Linked DNA regions of Diceros bicornis minor. The protein of the gene in region 1 interacts with the protein of each later gene in a biochemical or structural test. Links are inferred from orthologs where the notes say so. Each region holds a gene or a part of one and is shown on either strand. Other genes may lie near its edges.

Region 1 (10,482 bases):
AAATAGGAAATTTAACATTGAAACAATACTATTTTCTAACATACAGCCCATATTCAAATTTGCCAATTGTCCCAATAATATTTATTTTGATACTTGCTTTTTAATGGTGCTTATAGCTGGGAAAGTTTCCTTAAAAATATGCACAGATCCAGATGGAAGCTGGAACGTCTGCCTCTGCTTACCAAATCAGGATGTACTTTTTCTTTTCTTTTAAATCCCATGCACCAGCTGGAGAGGTCGTCTTCTTGTTCTGGATGTTTGGGGGTTTTGTTGTTATTGTTTGATGTTTTGCTGTTATTTTTAATGTAATCATGCTGCAGAGGCAAATAGACAATTACAAATATCATCTGAAAAGATGTATTTTTTTCTTAAAGTATATAATTAAAAAATTTTAATAATAGTAGATAACTTGTATTAAGTGCTTAATATTTGCTAGCCTTTGCAGTAAGTTCTTTACATGCATTTTTTTGTCTTTTAATTTTTATTTTGAGTTATAATTTGCATACAGTGAAATGCACAGATCTTATGAGTTACAATTCATTGAGTTTCGACAAATGCATACACCCTATTAAAATATAGAACATACAGAATCCCTAATAGAAAATATAGAATCCCTATTAAAATATAGAATATTTCCAAAATCCCAGAAAGTTCCTTCATGTCCTTTTCAGTCAAGTCTACGCCCAGAGGAGATCACTGTTCTTATTTCTTTCACCATGATTAGTTTTGTTTGGAATTTCATATAAATACAATCCTACATTATGTAAATTTTGGGGTCTGGCTACTTTCACTCAGCATAATGTTTTTGGGATTCATCCACATTATAAGTATAATGTATCGATAGTTTGTTCCTTTGTATTGCTGAGTAGTATTCCATTGTATGAAGACACTGCAACTTGTTTATTCATTCACATGTTGATATATTTTTGGCATGTTTCCAGTTTAGAACGATTTGAACATTCTTGTATGAGCTACAACACTCTTGCACAAATCTTTTTATGAACATGTGTTTACATATCTCTTGGGTAAAATTTGAGAATTTTACCTAAATTTTTTCTTGAGTGAAATTTGGGGTCACAGAGTGGGCTTTTTAATAAATGGTGTTGGAACAACTGGATAGCCATTGGGAAAAGCTAACATTGGATCCACACCTCACACCATACACACAAATTAATTCAAGATGGATCATAGTTCTAAACATAAAAGCTAAAACTATAAAACTTCTAAATGAACATGTTGGAGAACATCTTTGCAACCGTGGGTAGACAAAGGTGTTTTAGAACACAAACCCCGAATAATAAAAGGAAAAAAAAAAGATAGATTAGACCTTATCAAAATTAAAAATTTCTGCTCATCAAAAGACATGATTAAATTTGCTTCAAAATAATGCCACTGGTGGGTGAAGGGAAGAATTGATGAGGGCATAGAACAAATAAGACTAGTCATGAACTGGTAACTATGAAAGCTGGGTGAAAGGTACATGTAAATTCATCATTCTACTCACTTTACTTTTAAATATGTTTAAAATTTTCCACAATAAAAAGTTTTACAGGGCCGGCCTGGTGGCTTAGTGGTTAAGTTCGCGCGCTCCGCTACTGGTGGCCCGTGGGTTCGGATCCCGGGCGCGCACCGACGCACCGCTTCTCCGGCCATGCTGAGGCCACGTTCCACGTACAGCAACTAGAAGGATGTGCAACTATGACATACAACTATCTACTGGGGCTTTGGGGGAAAAAAAAAAGGAGGAGGATTGGCAATAGATGTTAGCTCAGAGCCGGTCTTCCTCAGCAAAAAGAGGAGGATTAGCATGGATGTTAGCTCAGGGCTGATCTTCCTCACCAAAAAAAAAAAAAAAAAAAAAGTTTTACAAAGTGGCATATTAAAAAAAAAGACACAACTAAGAAAATGCATAGGCAAGCCACAGACTGTGAAAAAATATTTGTAGGACATATGTCTGATAAAGGATTTGTATCCAGAATTTACAAAGCCTCCAAAAATTTGGTGCAGTTTTAAGTGTTAAACTTTAAATAGCTTTGAAGTATTTAAAGCTCAAAATTGCACTAAGACCTTTGGGATACCCTTATAGAGAAGAACTCCTACAACGAAGAACAAAAAAGACAATAAAAAATTAACAAAAGACTTGAACAAATGCTATCCAAAGGAAAGCATACAAATGGCCAATAAGCAAATGCAAAAGTGCTCAACATCACTCATCACCATGAAAATGAAAACCATAGGACATCACTAGACACCCACTAGAACGGCTAAAATCAAAATGGCAGACAACCACACGCTGGTGAGGATACGGAGCAGCTCACACACCGTCGGCGGCAGTGGGATATATTTGGGAAATGGTTTGGTTTGGCAGTTTCTAATAAGTTTAAATATACACTTGCCAAATGACCCAGCAATTCCAGCTTCCACATGGATGCTTAGTTTTTCAGCGTCTTGCTAACTGTGAATTCATTCTCTCATTAGCCAATGTCTCAAGTCGCAATATGTACATGGAGTGCAGCTTAGTGCTGATGATGGTGGATTTAAGTCCCTATTTCAGTCTTCTTGATAATATCCATTGTTTGGTTCTAGTTCTTGTCAGATCTTACTAGATCATTGTGTTTACCTCATGTTGCTGATCCTTGATATAACATAAACTGTAAAATGCTGTGTGAAAACAGTGAGCTGGTGAAACAACTGATAAACTGCAATTTTCTGGAAGCAGCATTTTTATGTGGTCACCCCCCTGTGTCTTTCCTGTTTATATCCAAATCATTCACTGCCATATCCCTAACACCTATTAGGAGGCCTGGCACACAAAAGTTATTGGTTGAATGGATATTTACATGCCAGTGTCACCTCCTTGCAACCCGAGACTATGTCCTTTTTGATTTTTACTTCCAGGCTAAGTACAGTAAGCCACAATGAGCAAGGGCAGTAGGCACTTAAGGAACAGGAAAGAATAAGAGAGGCAGTGTTGACCTTGCTGGGCAGGGTGAGCCTATAAGATACTCGTATGCCCCCCAGTGGTGTAGGTGGGAATTCCTCCTGTCTCTTACAATTTGGCAATCTTGGCGAACTGGCTGAAGCCAAGATGAAATTATCTGCCCATGGATTAATAAATGCAGTAACCATAGATTAATAAGTGTAGTAACACATAATGGTGTGAATTCCTCCTACGTTAGATAAGTATAGTAATAAATTTTACGTGTGACCCGAGGCTAAGCAATAGGGCTCTGAGGGTTACATGATTTGAGGGCTGAGGTCATATCTAATTCATCTCAACTATTCTCCCACAGGGCCTAAGGCACCACTGTTTAATTTTACTTAAAAAATGATGCAGGAACTTGGTAGAAAAGTTTAGACAATACAAGAGGGAAGAGAATGACAAGTTAGTCTTCTTCCAGGCCCACAACCCACAGGCCCCGGGTCCCCAGTTCCCCTTTCTGATAATAGACACTGGTACCGGATTCTAGGGAATCCTTCCAATCGTGCTGTGCCGGGGACTTTCCCAGTTTGAGCACGGAAAGCCTCGCATCCTGGGAAACCCCTGGGCCCCAGGCGAATGGGACAGTTGGTTCCCCTACCTTCCAGAGACGTCTATTCATCACACACAAACATACACATATACTAGCTGCATTACTCAGCATTTGGTGTTATTTTAATTAAACGTATACTTCAAAAATATATCAGCTGTATATTCATTTAACAAATATTTGTGGAGTTACCTACCGTGCAATACATACTGTTGTAGAAGCTGAAGATACAGTAGTAAACAAAATGGATGAATGCCTGTCCTCATGGAGTTGATATACCAGTAATTACATCTATTGTATTTATTTAACCACGTTGCCACTGTGACCAGCGCTGTCCTGGACATCTGTGTGTACATATCTTTCCCACAGGTGTGAGTGATGCCGGCCCTGACATCTGTTCCCCTGCTTTGAACCCAGCATAGATGGGGTTAAAACAAAAAAGCACTCACTCCCCCTTCCCTGCTTCTCTACGTTACATTCACACGTCAATATTTACCCTTGGCGTCCCTAAATTCCACAAGGCAAGTGGAGGTAATAAATTATTAAAAGCCCAGGTGGCTACAAACTGAAACTCTGGCTAATGACCAGTTCTTGAGGTTTGTTCCAGGGAGACTGAGATCTCGAAATTATCAAGAAGCTGAAGCGCCCCAACTCCTGGTTCCTGGAGCCGAATCCACCATCATCACAGGGACAGACAGAGGACACCTGCAGCTCTAGGAGACTGTGTTGCACAGGCCATCAAGTGCACAGGTCCCAAAGCCGGACTGCGTGGGTTCAAATCCTGACTCTCATTTCCCATCTGTGTTAAAAGGTAATTTAAATCAGCAATTCAAAGAGACTTATGAACTCCTATGTTCATTGCAGCATTATTCACAATAGCCGAGACTGGAAGCGACCCAAGTGTCCCATCAATGAATGAGTGGAGAAAGAAGATGTGGTGTATATATATACAACGGAAGGCTACTCAGCCATAAAAAAAGAAAATCGTGCCATTTGTGACAACATGGATGGACCTTGAGGGTGTTACGCTAAGTGAAATAAGCCAGATAGAGAAAGACAAACACTGTTATGATTTCACTCATAAGTGGAAGATAAATACATGGATAAGAACAGATTAGTGGTACATATATATGGTGACACATAAAAACTACACTATTGGTGGTGAGCACGATGCAGTCTGTATAGAAACTGATATATAATAATGTACACCTGAAATTTACACAATGTTATAAGCCAATATGACTTCAATAAAATAATTTTTTTAAAAAAAGGTAATTTAGTCTCTCTGTGCTTCAATTTGCATAGCTATAAAATGGGGATAATAAAAGAACCTAAGTCATAGGTTGCTGTGACGATTTATTCACGTGTAGTGCTTAGAATAATAAGCACAAAAAGAGTTCACTATTAATATTATTTCAGCCCTGTCCTCTTGTCTCTGTGACTAAGTGTATAAGCTCATGGAAAGTTCATTTCAAGAGCCCAAACTGGAGGCACAGTGGATTTGAAGTCCAGGTCTGGGGCTCCCCTGCCCCCGCCCACACTCACAGGCTCGGGCAGCAGCGACAAGGCCAATGTAAAGGCTTGTAAATACCCACAGCACACCTCTGCCCCTGCCATGGCACCCCCATCCGCGGAGGGGAGACAGTGCACCTCTGGCTGGGAAGAGCTCAGATGCACAGGTGCCTGGCTAGAAACAGGAAAAAGAAACGGTGAAGTGTAAGCATTGGCCCTCTGGGGCTGTTGCCTACATGCCAAGTCATTCTTCGGTGAAAAGATGCCCACATGGACAGCTAAAAATAATCCTCCTGCTGCGGCCAGGTCCAGCAAAATCAATGCAGAGAACTGGGAATGGGACAAGGGAGGCGCAAGTTTCCATTCAATTAACCTGGCTCAACAAACACCATTTATTTGTCCTGTGTAAACTCGTTACTGTGAGGCCTTTGTGGCCTTTCAGGATGGAAGTTTAATTGATCATTGACTTTTCTGGTTGAAAAAACCATGTAGCATTGTTAGCAGAGCCTTCAGTTTAAAAAGATGCATCTTGTGCAGTAGAACATGGAGAAAGTTGGGATTCAAAACATCTGGGTTCTAGGCTCACTCCTTTCTTGTGAGGTTGAGGTTTATTCTGTCTCTTCAAGCCTCACCTTCCCATCTGTACAGAACAGGAGCTGGACCCCATTGCCAGGAGACATGTGAACACAATGTTAAATAACGTTGACTCACTGCGGGAGACGTGTTTCCCATTCCTTCTGCTTTCACTAGGAAGTCTCAGTGTGGCGACAGCCTGTCTGCAACACTTCTCCAATAATGGCTGATCTCCCTTTCCAGCGTCAATAGTACCCAGCAAGAATTAATAACATTGTTTTGTTTCCATTGTATTTTTACACTGCCCTTATAGAAATGTGATACTGATTTTCTATTTGTATCTCAGGAGTGATATCAGATCTCCCTTTAAAATTTGTTTGCTTAAGTTTAAAGAAAGAGCAACTCTATTTGAAGAGAAATATTAAGTAACAGTGCATAAGTAAATATTAAGTAACAGCGTAACAGTTTAAATTTTGCAAACTGGCTGAAGCACAAAGCCCATTCCAATTCTGCCAGTCTCCGGATCTAGCTTCCACATTTTCCGGATTTCCTTCGGCATTTCCAGTAGCCCCGCCCCCAGCCGGGCGCACGCTCCATAAGCCACGCCCCCAGCGCGCCTCACCGCCCCTCGCCCCGCCCCTGTGCCCGCGGGCCCCGCCCCTCGCGCGCTCGGGCCCGCCCCCTCGGGCTCCTCCTTGTCGGCCGCCGTTGCGCCGAGCTCCGCGACAGCAAGATGGCGGCGCAGCTGGAGGAGTGTGAGGGTGGTGCGCAGCTGGCGGGACCCGCGGCGGAGGCCGACCCGCTGGGCCGCTTCACGTGTCCCGTGTGCTTGGAGGTGTACGAGAAGCCGGTGCAGGTGCCCTGCGGACACGTGTAAGCGGCGAGTCGGGGCCTGGTCGGGGGGCGCCACACCGGGAGGGAATGGAGCGCAAGAGCGAGGCCCCGGCAGGGAGGGTCTGGGGGCGGGAGCGACAGGACCGGCCTAGCGGGGCCCCCGAAGGCCCGTGGAAGTTGGCCCCCCGCCCTTCCGTTGAGCGCCTGCCGTGTTCCCGGCGGCCTGTCAGCCCTTCCCGCCGGTGACGGTGGAGGCGCACCCTGCTGGGGTCTAGGCAGGGTCTCAAGTCTGCCCTTGGAGAGCCACAGTCTCCCCTGAGAGTCTGTCCATCGCCCCTGACGTAGAGTACGTGTGGCGTCACGTATCCAGCTCTGCCAGGTAATTCTAATGGGCACTCAAGTTGGAGAAACGCTGAACTAGGTGGAAAGGACAAAAGGGAAGTCTCGGTAGAGAGCTGACCAGTCCGCCCTGAACTGAAAGGGGTGGGAGTTGGCAGATGGGGATTGTTAGCATTCCTACTCGCTTGTGTACGAGGTTTGTTTCATTCTTTTTGAAATTAAGCCTTCGTGGCCTGCGTATTGCTGATAGGCTGGTTGTGATGACTAAAGATGTGTGCGCAAATGTCGGGACAGGCCCTGGGCTGGCGTAGGTGCTTAGAGGTTGGCCGGATTTGAATCGAATCCTTGCTCTATCAGACACACAAACACACTCAAGTGGGAAGAATTACAGAAAATGTAGTCACCTGCTTCTTGCCGCTTGCAGTTGGCATTTCTTCTGTGGCCTCCCTCAGTGCTGTCGTGGGCATCTCCTTGGCGTTGGTCTTAGGACCCCTTTACTGGGCGGCAGGCACACTAGGCACCTGTTGGGCTTCACGGGCCTTCTTATTTCTACAGCAGTCCCAGGATGGACTGTAGGCGTCCGTGTCCCAGCCCAGAGAACAGTTGGCATCTGGCAAGGGCTCTTCAGCCGCACTCGCTGCTTTCTTGCTTCTTCAAGTACGCGAAGCTGTTTCTAGCCTCAGGCTGTTCCTGCTTGCTGTTCAGTTAGCCTGGAACTCGTCCCCCCCCCCCCCCCCCCCCGGTTTGCACCTCCCCCGCCACTACCCCACATCCTTTTCTGACTTCAAGTCCCGGTTTAAGTTACTTCCCTATCACCATCCCCATTTAAATTACCTCTCTCCTTCTCTCCTGGGCTTCCTTCTTCCTTGCACAGAGCAAAACGTAGGGATCACGAGGGCGGTGACCATATCCATTTTGCCCCTCTTTGTATCGCAGGGTCCAGCACAGTGTCTGAGCATCCGTCTTCCGCTCTTATATTCAGCCCACTAAAATCTTTGTATGCCCACTATGTGCCAGATTCTTGGCACACAGTAGGAAACAAGGTGGTTCTGCCCTCAGAGTCCACAAGCCGGTGGATTGATAAGTGAGTACTAACAGATGTTCAAGCTATTGTGAAAATTCCTTGTGCAGTGGGAGGGTATTATAAGGGTCAGACCTGTGTGTGTGGGTGCAAGAGTGATCAGGTAATGGATGAATGAACTAAGAAATTAGTGGAGGAAGCAGACTTCGGGAGAGTGCAAGTGGAGTCTAGGTAGCTTTCTCATTGAGTCCTCTTTGCCTTGGATCAGCCCTCCTTATTACCTTTACCTAATTTTGAGTTAACTCAATGGGTTTCCTTTACAGTTAACATTTATAAAGAGACTTGACCTAGCACAATTTACCAACTGAAAAGCAAAAAATTTGAGGTTTCCTTGTGCCAGATGAACTTTTCCTAGGTCAAAGGTCAAGGGGCAGTACTGGGATTCACCTTGGCTCTTTTCTAGACTCACCATACTAGTTGCGTGTGTTCATTAGTTCACTGCTGATTGAAGACACATGGCTGCACTTCTGTGAGGGGAGCATGAGTCTCCGTTAGCTCCAGCCAGGTGCTTTTTGCTCTGCCTAGGTGATTTTTGCTAACTTTTGTGCTTGGAAACTGGAACATCACTGCAGCTGTGGCTGGGGCATTGGGTTTTTATAAAATTTATTTCAAGCCCTGAATGACACATCCCTCTCCAATCTAGTGGAATACAGCTAGAGAAGGGCAGGTGGCTGGGTGCCCAAGAGAAGGGACTTTCTACATAACAGGAAAGGTGGAGCATCTAGAAGGCTGAACTAGAAAAAGGCCCATAAATGGAAAATGGAAACTGAAAGCCAGCCCAAGATATAGGGACCGTTTAAAAGCGGGCTCGTTCATTGGGCGTGACTCAGGCACAAAGTGTCTCTTGAACATTTGATCGATGAGCTGTATCTGGGTGTGTCCTTGAAGGGAGGCTTCGAGCTGCTTTTATCTACAGGCTGGGTTTGGTTTCATTATCCTCTCTGGGCCCTGTGTGCTCTCTTGGGTTTATCTTGTGATCTGCCCTTGAGAAGAGGTATGGCAAGTGATGACTACAAGGCCTGTCTGCCTCTCCAACCTCATCGCCTACCCTCTCCCCATGGTCTACCACGTCATGGCCCCAAAGGCCTTCCTTTCTGCCTTTCCCACCCCCTTGACTTGGTGTCATCTCTGTATGGAACTCTGTGTCCAGGTCTGTGTGGTTCTCTCCTCATAATTTAGGTCTCAGCTCAAATATTACCTCCTTGAAGAAGCTTTCTGTGATCTACAAAGAGAGCTGATCTCTTTGCCTTGTTTTATTTCCTTCATATACTTAATCACTATCTGAAATTCACAATTGTGTTTTTTCCACCCTGGAATATCAGCATCATAAGGACAGGGACTTTGTTTAGTTCACCACTGCGCCCTCAGTGGTGAATGAGTAGAACCCCTCACCTTCTCCCAGACTGGTCTAGAATTTTGCCTGGCAGCATTAACATCTAGCTTAATGACAAAGAGGAATAACATTCTTAGAAACAGTAAAAAGTTGTCGAATGTGCAGATTACTTTTGATTATGTATCCTGAGTTCTTCCTGGCGGATTTTGTTATCCTGCCTTAAATCTATCAGGTTGGGTACGTAGCCGGGGTATTTTCATGCCTTATTACCCATTCTTTCTGTGTACTGTATCTCAGCACCACCCCCTGCCTAGGCTTCAGGATAGAACTTGGTCATCTTTGACTTTCCCTCTTTTCTTCTCCAAATTCAGTAAGTGACCAAGTCCTGCTGATGCCACCTCTGAATCATTTCCTGAATTAATTCTCTGTTGCCTCAGTAAGGCCCTCACAATCCCTTGCCTTTAGCCATCTGTTTGGTTTGTACTTCAAGTCTCTTCTCGTCTTTCCTCACCTAAAAAAAATTAAAAACCAACAACTCTATTGTCCATGGTGACCCCGGAGTCATTTTTCTAAAACTTGGATTTGGTCTTGTTGATACCTTGCTTCAAACATCTGGGTCCCTCCTGCTTATGAGGAAAAGTGTTAGACTTTTATTTCCTCAGATACATTGTGAATTTTTAAGTCTAAGGGCTGGAATATTCTTCCCTTCCTCTGCTAGTTGAACTCCTTCTTTTGAGGCTCTTCTGTGGATGCCACCTCTCAGTCTCACCAGCCCTGTCCTTCTTGGGTCACACCTAGTTGCTCTTGTCTTTGTGTTCCCATAGTGCTTTGCATTCACCTCTAATGATAGCAGCTCCTGTTTGCAGTGCATTTCATATGTGCTAGACATTGTACTGTGGGCTACTGTACGTATTCCATCCTACCGACAATCCTAGAGGTATGTACTACTGTCTCCATTCCGCAGAGGAGACACCGAGGTTCAGGAAACCCCACCAAGATCTGTCAGGGCCAGGGGCTGAGGTTTGAAGACTGCACCATGACCTTTCACCATGTATCATGGTAGTGTGTGTGTTTCTGTTGCTGGACCTGTGTGTTCCTTGCAGGGGAACCCCCCGTCTCCATTTTTCTGGCTTAGGAGGACGCAGTATTTGAATCGGGGGTAGGGAACAAGTTGTTTTTAATCCATTATTCGTTGATGTCTTTTTAAAAGTTGATCCATTTTTGTTGTCCTGTCTCCACAATGCATGATGCAGGTTCTCTGTGTGTCTTGTTCTAGCTTT
Region 2 (10,897 bases), on another chromosome or scaffold:
AATGGGCTATTCCACTCCCCTGTACCCTACCTTCAGTCTATATCTCACCCCACCCTCACCCTGACATGCACACGCACACACACACACACACACACACACACATACTCATACTCCCTTAAGTCTCACCTTTCCGTGAAGGTAATCTGACCTGACCACCCCCACTACCCCAGTTGCAATGGGTTGAATCTCCCCACTCACTTCCGTGGGTGAGATTGTATCTTGGTATTTATAAAATTCAACTGCATTCATTTCTTTCCAGGCCAGCTTCCCTTCTCTAGTCTGTGAACTCTCTAAGAGCAGAGACTTTATTTTATTTGTGATTGTAGCCCCTGAGCCAGGTGCATATAGGCCATTTGATTGTTAAATTAATTAATTAATCTACAAAATAACGTGGAAAATATGGTAGGCTATACCTTACCTACTATATCTTATAATAATAAACATGGATAAGGGAATAATTTAACCCAGACCATGCCCTCTGCTTTGTAAAACAATATCCTACCGACTTGGCATGGTGCCTTATTTTTTTCCTGACCAATACTGACACATTGGCTCAAATAAATAAACATTCCTTCTTTGATTTACTTTTTTGAAAGAAATAAGTTCACATGTCAGTGAAAAAGCTGATGCTTATAACCTCTTCTCTGAATGAATTTTTACATTTTTATGATAAATATTAAGGAACAATAAACTTTTCTTTGTCTCTTTTTTTTCAGTGATCTACCTTGACCTACCCCTGGCCTTCAGCATGGAGCCCACGTCACATCACTGAGATAGGAAAGCAGTGGTGTGCTGCTAAAGGGTTAACAGCCAGCTCTCGGGGGGCTGGGGGGTGGCCGGTGGGGAAAGTCCTGATTTGTAATGTTTGCCAATTTCCATGGTGTAAATACTCCTACCATGGCCAATTTCAAGCTACCTACATGACTTTTCCATGAATGGAAAATTGGGAAGAGATGGGCACAACAAGACCTCAGAGCCAGTGCAAGCCATTGTAAGAAAGCCCCAGCACACCATCGTAAGACAGACCACATGATGTCAAGGACAGGGTAGAAAGAGACACTCATAGAGACAAGGAGTGGAAGAGGATGTTAGAATTCAAGACATGAATATAAGCTTTTTTTTCAAAAATTAAAAGACACTAATTATTCTCTAAAATGAGATCTGAGTGGCTGCTCATCACCACGACTTGCTCACGCACAGTAAGTTCACCCCGACTTCTGAGAATGAAAATATGCTCAGAGTCTGATTTTTTTCTCTTACATCCCCTAGAAAAGTGACAACAAAAGATTTGATGGGTATGGTCATTTGTACTTGTCGCATGAGATCTGGCAGCAACTAAGGTGGCGAGTCCATGACTGAGACCTAAATACTCCCCTGGGAGAGGGAGAAGGCCCCTGAACACTGACCCTGAAATGTCCCTTTGGGCCATTTGGGGACAAAGAGAGGAGCTAGGATTGCTGATTGGGTAGGGGAGTGGGTGAGGAGGTGCTTTAACCAGGAAAAAGAGCTGAGACTATGTGGAAACAGACCTCCACCAGAAGGCAGGGAAGGGAAGAATACTTGGGACCACAAATGCACACAGGATGCCATGGAGCTGCTGTTTCTTGCCCGTGAGTTTAATGACAAGTTTCCTCCCCTTTGCATGCCAACTAAGCAGGAGCCGACAGGGCATTCCCTGACTTCGCCACCCAGCCAGACCTGGAGTCTGCCCCAAACACAATCACAGATATTCCCAGGCTTGAATTCCATCCAGAGACTAGTCATTTGATGCAATTGCATGTGGTCTGAAAAACAAACTCCCACTCAAACATATTGTACTTGGGGAGACTGCAATCTTGATAATCATGTCTGCCAGAACTCAGGCCCACTCTGACCACAGGATCCTTCTGAAAGGCATGACCAACATAAGTGTGCACAATTCCACCATGTAATTTTTGTCTGGGAAATGAAATACCTCCGTCGTTACATCATTTTTCTTAGCATAGCGGTCCCTTGAAAGAATAAAACCTAAGCTCTCTTCCCAAAGCCAGCTATTGAAATAACCTTCTTTTCACACTCTCTCTTATCTTCCATGACCTTGTACAGCTTTCATACAGAATTTCTCGTTTTATCCTCAAAACAATGCATTGAGGTACGTATTATTATTCCTAATTCCTGGTCCAGCCCAGAATTCCTACTTCCCCTTCCCCCCCTCCCAGTGAAAGGTGACATCGAGCAGCCTGGCCAAACCATGTCTGAGGAATCGGTTCCCTGTGACAACCCTGACCCCCCTCCCCTGACCCGCCGGCCTGACACAAAGGGACTGCCGGAAACTCCTGACAGCTGCCAAGCGGGCAGCCACAGCGTCCTGGAGAGGAATTCTAGACTCACAACAGAGCATTTCTAATCCAGTTTTTTATGGGATTGGGGTTGGAGGAGGGGGTTGGTGACCAGCCAAAGACGGGTGGCAGAATGACGAAATCATGCAAGCCCACAGCTCTGATTCACATTGTGGTGGGAATGGGGACAGGCCTCTGTGCCAACCAGAATGTTCCCGGTTACACACTGCAGTTAAAAATAGTGGCGGCTCAGGAGTGGGCATGTGGTCAAAAAGAAATTTTACTTTATCTGTAATATTCTGATTTTTTTTAAAGAAAGCATATTTGTGCATTAGTTATATAATTATAAGTTATCTTGAACGTTCAAAAGAAATGGCCATCACTGCGTCTTTGAGAGCCCCTGGGTACTGGGGTGGGCTGGCGGTGGGGAAGGACTTCTAACTTCCGCTCTAATTAACCCAGACACGCATCCTTCACATCCATTCAGGTTGGCCAGTGTTTGCCCACCAACGCACAGCATAGCGCTTCACTGCCTACTAAGCACAAGGCATGTGGGTCCCTCTGGCAGAAAGAGCCTGGTGAAAGAGGTGATGAATCTCAAATTGTCTACACCCATAGTTGAGTGGGGGCAAGTTGGGGCAACAAACAGACAAGCAACTGACCATAACCAGAGACAGAGGAGGGAGGTCCTCTACCAGTGACCGCATTGGAGTTGGACTTGAAGAACTGGTGGGATTTTGATATGTAAGGGAAGGGATGGTGCAGGGGTGGACAGTCTGGAAAGAGAAAACATCTTGGAAGAAAATTAGGGCAGAGATGAAAAAACTCATAGTCCTTTCCAATTCCACCCCCATGGCCCTGTCCCTGATTCCTGCGCTCTGGGACGCCCCACCTGTGCACCGCTCTTTTACATTTCTACCACCCCCCTCCATTCTGGGGGATCCCAGCAGGAGACGAGGTGTGAAAGCTCAGTTTTTTTCGTTATTGTGGATATTCACAAGACTGCCTGCCCCGAGATAGACAGGAGTGCGAGGCAAAGGTCCAAGAGATTAAGGAATTTGCCCAGCTGATGAGGAAGGGAGTCAGGATGCTAACCGGGGTCTCCCCCACCACCAGCTGTCTAACAAGGTGGACCGTGTCTTGCTTAGACACGTAGATCCCTGAGTCAGATCAACCTGTTTTGAATCCCAGCTCTGGCACTCGCTGTGTGACCTTGAGCAAAGTCCTTAAACTCTCTGTGCCTCCGTTTCTATAGGTGCAAAATGGGGCTAATAATAATTCTTGTGCCAGAGCTGTTGGGCAGATTAAAAAAAAAAAATTAATGGAGGCTGGCCTGGTGGTGTAGTGATTCACATGCTCTGCTTCGGCAGTCCGGGGATCGAGGATTCAGATCCTGGGCACAGACCTATGCACCGCTCATCAAGCCACGGTGTGGCAGGTGTCCCATATATACAACAGAGGAAGAAGGTCATGGCTGTTAGCTCAGGGCCCATCTTCCTCAATAAAAAGAGGAAGATTGGCAACAGATGTTAGCTCAGGGCCGATCTTCCTCACACACACGCACACAAAAATTAATGCCTGTAAAATGCTTAGCATAATGCCTGGGACATGGAAAATGCTTAAGCCTTCATTGGCTATTACCTCTTATCCCTCTGATCATTATGATTACTGCCCACTGTTCCTCATTTGGTGCCTGAATTTTACAGTCTGGCAGGAGGCTGGAGCCCGTCTGGCCTAGTCCTTAATCCCATTATCCTCCTCCGAGGGGCCCCCATCCCATCTGCAGACTTCACAAGAATTCTCTCCTCCTGCCTGTGTCATCGCTCCTCACTCATCATTCAGAGCCTTTCTGTTAGCACAGCTGCTTCTGGGGTCTGGGAATGCTCTGAGGACCCCGGGGGGGATCACACTAGAGTAGGTCTATCCAGTGGGCGGATGGGGGGGTATGTAAGCAGCCTCCACATCCTGTTCCCACATCCCTGAAGCACCCCATCCAGCAGGCCACCACCCCTTCTCTTCCGGTGGCCTCCCCTGGGCCTGCTTGGATGAAAAGCTTGTCTGCACCTTGGCTTATGTGGGCTTTCTTGTGAGCTCACCCACAGGGGACATGAGAGCTTGGCATTCACCGCATCCTAGACCCTCCCAGCCTCACTCCTGGGGCCGAGTCCCCTCCATCCCTGACGGGTTCATCGAGGGACAGGGTAGTGATGGGAAGGAAGCTCAGGGCCTCCGGAGATTTCCACCAAATGATCCCGGCTCTCCCCTCGGCAGCAACCCAGCCCATCTTTCCTCCATGAGCACCAAGTGTCTGTCCCCACGCTGCACATCTCTACTTCTGGAATTTTCAATGACGCTCATCTGCCCCCATCCCTTTAGTCTTCAGATGGAAAGCCAAGGGCCAAAGGCTTAAATCACAGCGCTGGCCCTGCAACTTGGAACCAGCCTTTTCCTCCTACACCAGTGGCTCCTGGCTTCTCTGCACGTTAGAATCACCTAGGACCTTTCAAAACCCCACAGTCCCACCTGGACCAGTGAAGTCACACTCTCTGGGGTTGGGCAGGCATCAGTGGATTTCTGTAAGTTCCCTAAGCGATTCCAATGTGTGGACAAGTTTGGAAGCCACTGTCCTCCACCCCAGCACCAAGAGCCCCGACAAATGGCCAGGCCCCAATCTAGGTGCTTTGCGTGTTACTCATCTTTGCTTCATGATTCCTTTTTGCTTTCTGACATTCTGAACATCAGGAGGGACTTCTTCATGTATTAGTGAAAAGCTGCTAGGTATTTATCAGCTGTTGTAAAGTTGTGTATATGGTGTGCTCACTAAAGTTGAAATAAATTAAAATGCTTAGATACATGTGCAAGACTACAATCAAAATTCTCCAACTACACACTAATATCTTAACTGTGTTTATAAACAATAAAGGTGATTATTGAAGCTAATTAAAGATAGGCTTGATTTTTTACAAATAAAATTCTGGGAAACAGAAATACATATTAAATCCTCTTAAAGAATTTCAATATGAAGTATATAATATCCAAATGTTTCTAATGCAGTTGCAATTATCTGCATATTTTTAAATTCTCATTGAGCTATGTGATACACTGTTTCATCATTTTTATTTATCTAACGAATTGCACCCTGCTTCTCCCTGTGAAAAGAACACAGGTAGACAAACAAATCTCCTCTGTTCACTTGATTCAATTATGCACATATAATTTTGGACATGTGTTGCCTTTAACAGAACTTGATTTCTTTGAATCTCAAAACTTTGGGTCAATTTGTCCAGTCATTTATAACTGTCCGGGTCATGGACTCCTTTTGAGTGTCTGCTAAAAACATTGGCTCTTTCTTGGGAAAAGGCACATACATGAAAGCAATTGTGCACACAATTTCTGGGAGCATACAGACTCCTAAAGTCCCCCAGTTCCCCAGTTGAGTCCAAAAAATGAAGAAACAGAAGCCCAAAAGGCTGAGGTCACTCAAGCTGCCAGTTAATCAGGATTCGAACTCTGAGCTCCCAACCCTATGGCCATTGAGGAGAGACAGGCCGGGGGCCACTTTGCCTGGGTTCAAAGCCTGATTCTCCTGCCTCCTGGCTATGTGACGTGTGCAAGTCACATCGCCCCTCACTGCCTCGGTTTCTTTATCTGCAGATGGGGATGATGAAAATAGAAGCTTCCTCACTTGTCTGTCACCCCGTCAGCCTTACAGCCATGTTTGCTGTAATTATTTACAAGTGAGGGAAGAGAAGCTCAGGGAGCTAGGCTGTTGCCCTAGGTCACCAAGCTACTGTGTGATGTGGCCTGAAAGCCTGCAGTCTTGGCACACACCACTCTGCATCCCCAATTCCTTCTGGACCCTGTTTTCAAAGTCGTCACCACCTAGGACCAGAGGAGGAGACAGGAAGTCCAGGAGCTGCTCTCAGGAAGCAGCCTTCCAATTCAACACAGCAAGCCATGTCTCTCCAGCCGAGGAAGGACCAGCAAGAGGAACAGGAGAGGGGAGTTCTGTGGAAGTGTTCTGTGGAAGGGGATAGAGATACTCAGAGGCAGTGAAGCCAGCCTGGGTGAGAGGAGGGGCTGCTGCCCAGGGGAGGCCTGGCCTCTGGCTCCCTTCCTCGAGGTCGTAGAAATGGTCAGTGACAGCAGCACGGGGTGACAGCACAGGCAGGCGGAGGCAGTGGGGGCAGGCTAGGCTGGCCAAGCTACAGACGGGCTTCCTGGGAGTGTCCAGCTGCAAGAACCTTGGAGCAGCCCTGGGCTGGGAATTCTGAAAAACCCCTCCCTCCCCAGAGCTGTGGGCCGGGTTGTGGGAACACTTTCAGTTTTGTTTTCTAGTCTGCGAGAAACAGAAACTCAACAGGAAGACTGCGGAGACCAGAAATGGAGGGGGCCTTCCAGGCATGCAGGAACTGGTAAGAAGTGGCTTTCCCTAGCTGTGGGCCTGAGGCTGGCTGGTGAGAGGGGCAGCAGGACAAGGCGGCTTCTGAAGTGAGGAGAAAGGGTCCGGACATTGCTATGGGTGGGACGGGGTGGGCACTGTGCCCCAGGTAAGAAGGTTTAGACTCAGTGGATCTCTGAGATGATGAGATGGCAAGAGGTGGGCAGCATTACCTTAATATCACTGAACCCCGCCCCCTCCCCGAGATATTTTAGACTTTCTGGGACAGTCCTAATTCAAATAGCCAGGCTAATTGTCCCTGCTGGGCTACTCAGGCTTGTCAGATCTTGGGTCCTAATTTGTGGTTCTGATCACCAAGTCTTCACACCGGTCTTTGACAGAAAGGGGCCCACGGAGGTTCTCCAGGACCGTTCCCAACCTCTCCTTGAGAGGGAGCTGTGGGGCGGGGTGGGGTGAGGGGGACAGAGGATCCTTCCCAGAGAGCTTTGCTCCAGACAGACCCTCCTGGCTCCCTGGTGTGTGGACCAGCTCAGGAAGAAGAGCAGAGGGGACGGGGCAGGGAGAGCAGAGAGAGAAAGGGGCCAGGCCAGGCAGGGGGCAAGAACAGAGGAGGAACGGGAAAGTGGAGAAGGCTTGGTCCATCTGGGCAGCGCAGAAGCCATGAGCTTGTTCAGATCAAGAGGAGTGAGGCTCTGGCTGCTCCCCTCTGGCCACATCCCCTGTGCCAGGGCCTTGGGGGTGCAACTCTCATCCTCACTGGGGCTTTAGGGCTGCAGCCTCTGAGTTTCCTTTCTCCCAAGCTGCCACAAGCAAGAGCTGATGGAAATGAAAGGAGGCATTTTGCAGTGAGGAGGAGGGTTAAGAAACCACCTGCCCGGGACCCGGGAGGCTCAGAAGCTTCTGTTCTTTGGGGTCTTCAAGAAGGGCCTCGGGATCTCTCTGAGTTGCACGGGTCAGCCTGGAGGCAGGGCATCAGTGGAGGCCTCAGCTCTCGGAGCCGTGGGAAGCTCTCGCTGTGGAGATCCTGAAAGCCGGTGTTGCCCTTGCAGGGGGCGTGGGCGTGGCGGGGCTGGGTTCCCAAGCAGCCGTGTACCACGCGGGGGAGCACTTGAAAACAAGACAAAATACTGGAAGGAATTTGATATTTGTTCTTTCGCTTTTCAAACAGCTTTACCAGGGTACGATGGACATAAACTGCATTTATGGTTCATTTTTGAAGTGTACTATGTGGCGCATTTGGCACGTGTATATCCCCATGAAGCCATCACCACAGTCAAGATAGTGAGCCTGCCCACCACCCCTAGGTCTCCTCAGGCCCCTGGTAATCTCTCCTCCTGCTCCCTCTCACCCAGCCCCACTCGATCCGGGCAATGTGAGAGCTTTGTGGAGCGTCCTTACACTTATTTTATGATTTTGTGTTGTTCTGAATGGGGAGCAACATGGGGAGGGGGCATCATCATCATGTTTTCAATGCTTGAGGCCTCGAAGGATCTTAACCCAGCAGCCCGGGTATGAAATATGACTCCATGTTTTATGCCAAGAAGTCAGCTTGTTTTCCTTCCCCCTTTGCTCCTGCAGCAAAAGAAGCATGGCCCCTGCCCACTTGGCCCTCCACGAGGCCCACTGCCTTCTGTTCCTGGTCCTCTGCCCGGAGTGCAAGGGACCCGTCCCCCTGGCAAAGAAGGAAGAGCATTGTGAGAACGGGCACCAGCAGGTGAGGAGGCAGAGGTGGAGCGCGGGGAGGCCAGCCAGAGTCTAGTCCTCGCTGCAGTAACTTGCTTGGCTGGTAGGGGCTAACCATTTAGCCCCTGCACGCCCCAGCCCCCGTCTGTGACGTGGAGATGGTGACTCTGCCTTTCTCACACTGAACTGAGTCTACCCCGCTTTTCCCATTCCCAATCCTTTCCCTACAGGCTGATGGGTTCGGCCAAGACAAGGGGTCCCTGTTTCAGAAAAGGTTGAATGTTCTTTTGAGATTTGTGAAGAGGGGAAGCAGGAAAGGAAAGTTCTAGAAGGCAGTCATGGCCAAGGCCAGTCAAAGGCTGACTTTTCTTTCCTGCTCTTTCATGTCAGTCCCTCCTGGGGTCCCTTTTCTGTCTTTCTGATTCTCAAGCTCAGGCATCCATTTCAACTCTGTGGGTCCCACAAACACTTCTTGCACACGGGCCCGGTGCTGCAGAGAGCCTGAGGAGCCACACCTGATCCCCACCCCCGAGGAGCTCACAGACCCGGACCTAAAACACATGAACTGAGGCAGATGTGGGGAGAGGCAGCAAGAGCTGGGTGGGAGCTGCATTTCTCTCTGTGTTTAGGTCTGGTGTGCGATGTGTCAGCAGAGCGTGCAGAAGCACTTGCTGGAGTTTCATGAGGTGAGAGTCCAGAGTGATTTCTCCTTAACCGCCAAGCAGCCAACCTGGGAGGAGAGGAAGGGCGAGGAGGGGCCAATAATCAAGATTTCCACTTGACCTCTCTCTTCTCACCCAAGTCGGCGCGGGGAAAAATGGAGAACTAGCCCGCCACAGGAACACAGGTCCTGCTGTCCCCTAGATGCTGGTCAGAAGGGCTTGCCCCGGTCCATGAGCCCAAGAGAGCTGTATTCCCAGAGGAGAGTGCCCCCTCTAGCACTTCCCATCGGCTTTCTCTTATTGGCCTCAGTTCCTAGGGAAATAAGCAAATATCCCTATCCTGACCAACAGGGCTGCAGTCACTGCAAGCCAGTGACCATGCCCGTCCTGCCTGCCTCCCCGCAGGCCACGGAATGCCCAGACCGCCCTGTTGAGTGTAAGTTCTGTAAGCTGGCCGTGCGCCTCAGCAAGGTGGAGATCCACGAGCACCACTGCGGCAACCGGACAGAGCTCTGCCTACACTGCGGCCAGCCCATCATGCTCCGAGAGCTGGCCCAGCACACGGACGTGTGTCGGGGTGAACAGGCCCAGCTCAGGAAAGGTGAGCAGCAGAGGCTGGGGAGGAAAAGGGAAGCTTCAAGGAAAGGGAGCATCTCCTGGATGGGATGCAAGAACGCAGGCTCCCATCAGGACGGATGATGTATGTCTATGACAGACGTGCGCATATCAAATTCATCTGGCTATTTGAGTTCTAGACCACGTACGAGAGTAGCCTTCTTGTGTATCTGCTATGGTCTTCAAATGACTGGTCCAGGGAGACCAAGAGGCCAGGGGGTGGAGGCCTGGGAGTCACACAGATGGGTGCAGAGGCAATGGGGGCCCTACAACATGGGAGACTGGCTTTGAATCCTCCAGCACCATCCTAGCTGGGCAGAGACCCACCTGCATCCTTTTACAGATGAGAAACCCATGCACAAAATGAAGCAGGGGCTTGCTAGAGGAAGAAATAAGACTGGACACCAAGTTTCCCAACACTAAATCGGGAGCTTTTTCCACCATCGGCAAGGGACCGAAGGGAACCAGCTGTAGCTCCCGGCCTTTGGCCTGTGTGTTGGCTCCCTGGTACCATTTCACATTCTCTGGACCCAGCTACCTCTTTATGAGGTGTGTTTACGGAGAACACAACCCACCAACGTGACAGATCTGTTGACTCCACTGGTTGTTTTGGTAATGTAGTGACATGTGGAAAGAGCCTATAGCACCCCTTGGACAGTGCCTCTCTCCTGGTACACAATCTACCCACGGACAAAATTGGCAAACGGAAAACTGGAATGCTTGCGATTCATATTCATTTCCTTCATTCCAGCATGGCTGGGCTTCAACACAAGCAACACAACTTGAACACAACTTCATCAACGCAACACAACTTCAACAAGACAACACAACACCGCTTCAACACAATCGACAAAGATGTGTACGATAACACCCAATTTGATCACAGAGCTCAGAAACTGGTGAATGAAAGAGCAGTCAGATTAGACGGGATTGGCATCTGTGGTAACAGCTCTCTTGTCTCCTTAGAAACCAGTCCTGCTCCAGGAAAATGTCTCTTCATCAGGGTGGCATGCTGCCCTGAGTGCAGATCTGCAGCTATAAAGGAAATGATGTGGATGATTTGGCCAAGGGTTTCCTGTGTGGCTGAGGACAGTGACAGTGCAGGACACTCACGGCCAGGCAGGCCCGGGGGGCAGTTCATATTCATGACTATAGGCCACGTACACACTTGTGGGAAAGTTGGGTTTGCCATTGTCAAGGACAATCATTTGTGGTAT

Evidence for each region.
Region 2: the proteins of RNF114 (region 1) and XAF1 form a complex in vitro, tested with the Homo sapiens proteins (2 studies listed by BioGRID). The link is inferred for Diceros bicornis minor from reciprocal best matches to the Homo sapiens genes RNF114 and XAF1.

The regions. Positions count from the first base shown.
Region 1 is NC_080758.1:12,096,358-12,106,839, reverse strand, and holds the start of RNF114 (E3 ubiquitin-protein ligase RNF114), read left to right. Parts: upstream 1-6,333; 5' UTR 6,334-6,348; coding exon 6,349-6,488; intron 6,489-10,478; coding exon 10,479-10,482. UniProt on the Homo sapiens protein: E3 ubiquitin-protein ligase that promotes the ubiquitination of various substrates. In turn, participates in the regulation of many biological processes including cell cycle, apoptosis, osteoclastogenesis as well as innate or adaptive immunity.
Region 2 is NC_080757.1:13,156,101-13,166,997, forward strand, and holds the start of XAF1 (XIAP-associated factor 1), read left to right. Parts: upstream 1-6,632; 5' UTR 6,633-6,701; coding exon 6,702-6,733; intron 6,734-8,298; coding exon 8,299-8,434; intron 8,435-9,032; coding exon 9,033-9,089; intron 9,090-9,470; coding exon 9,471-9,666; intron 9,667-10,897. UniProt on the Homo sapiens protein: Seems to function as a negative regulator of members of the IAP (inhibitor of apoptosis protein) family. Inhibits anti-caspase activity of BIRC4. Induces cleavage and inactivation of BIRC4 independent of caspase activation.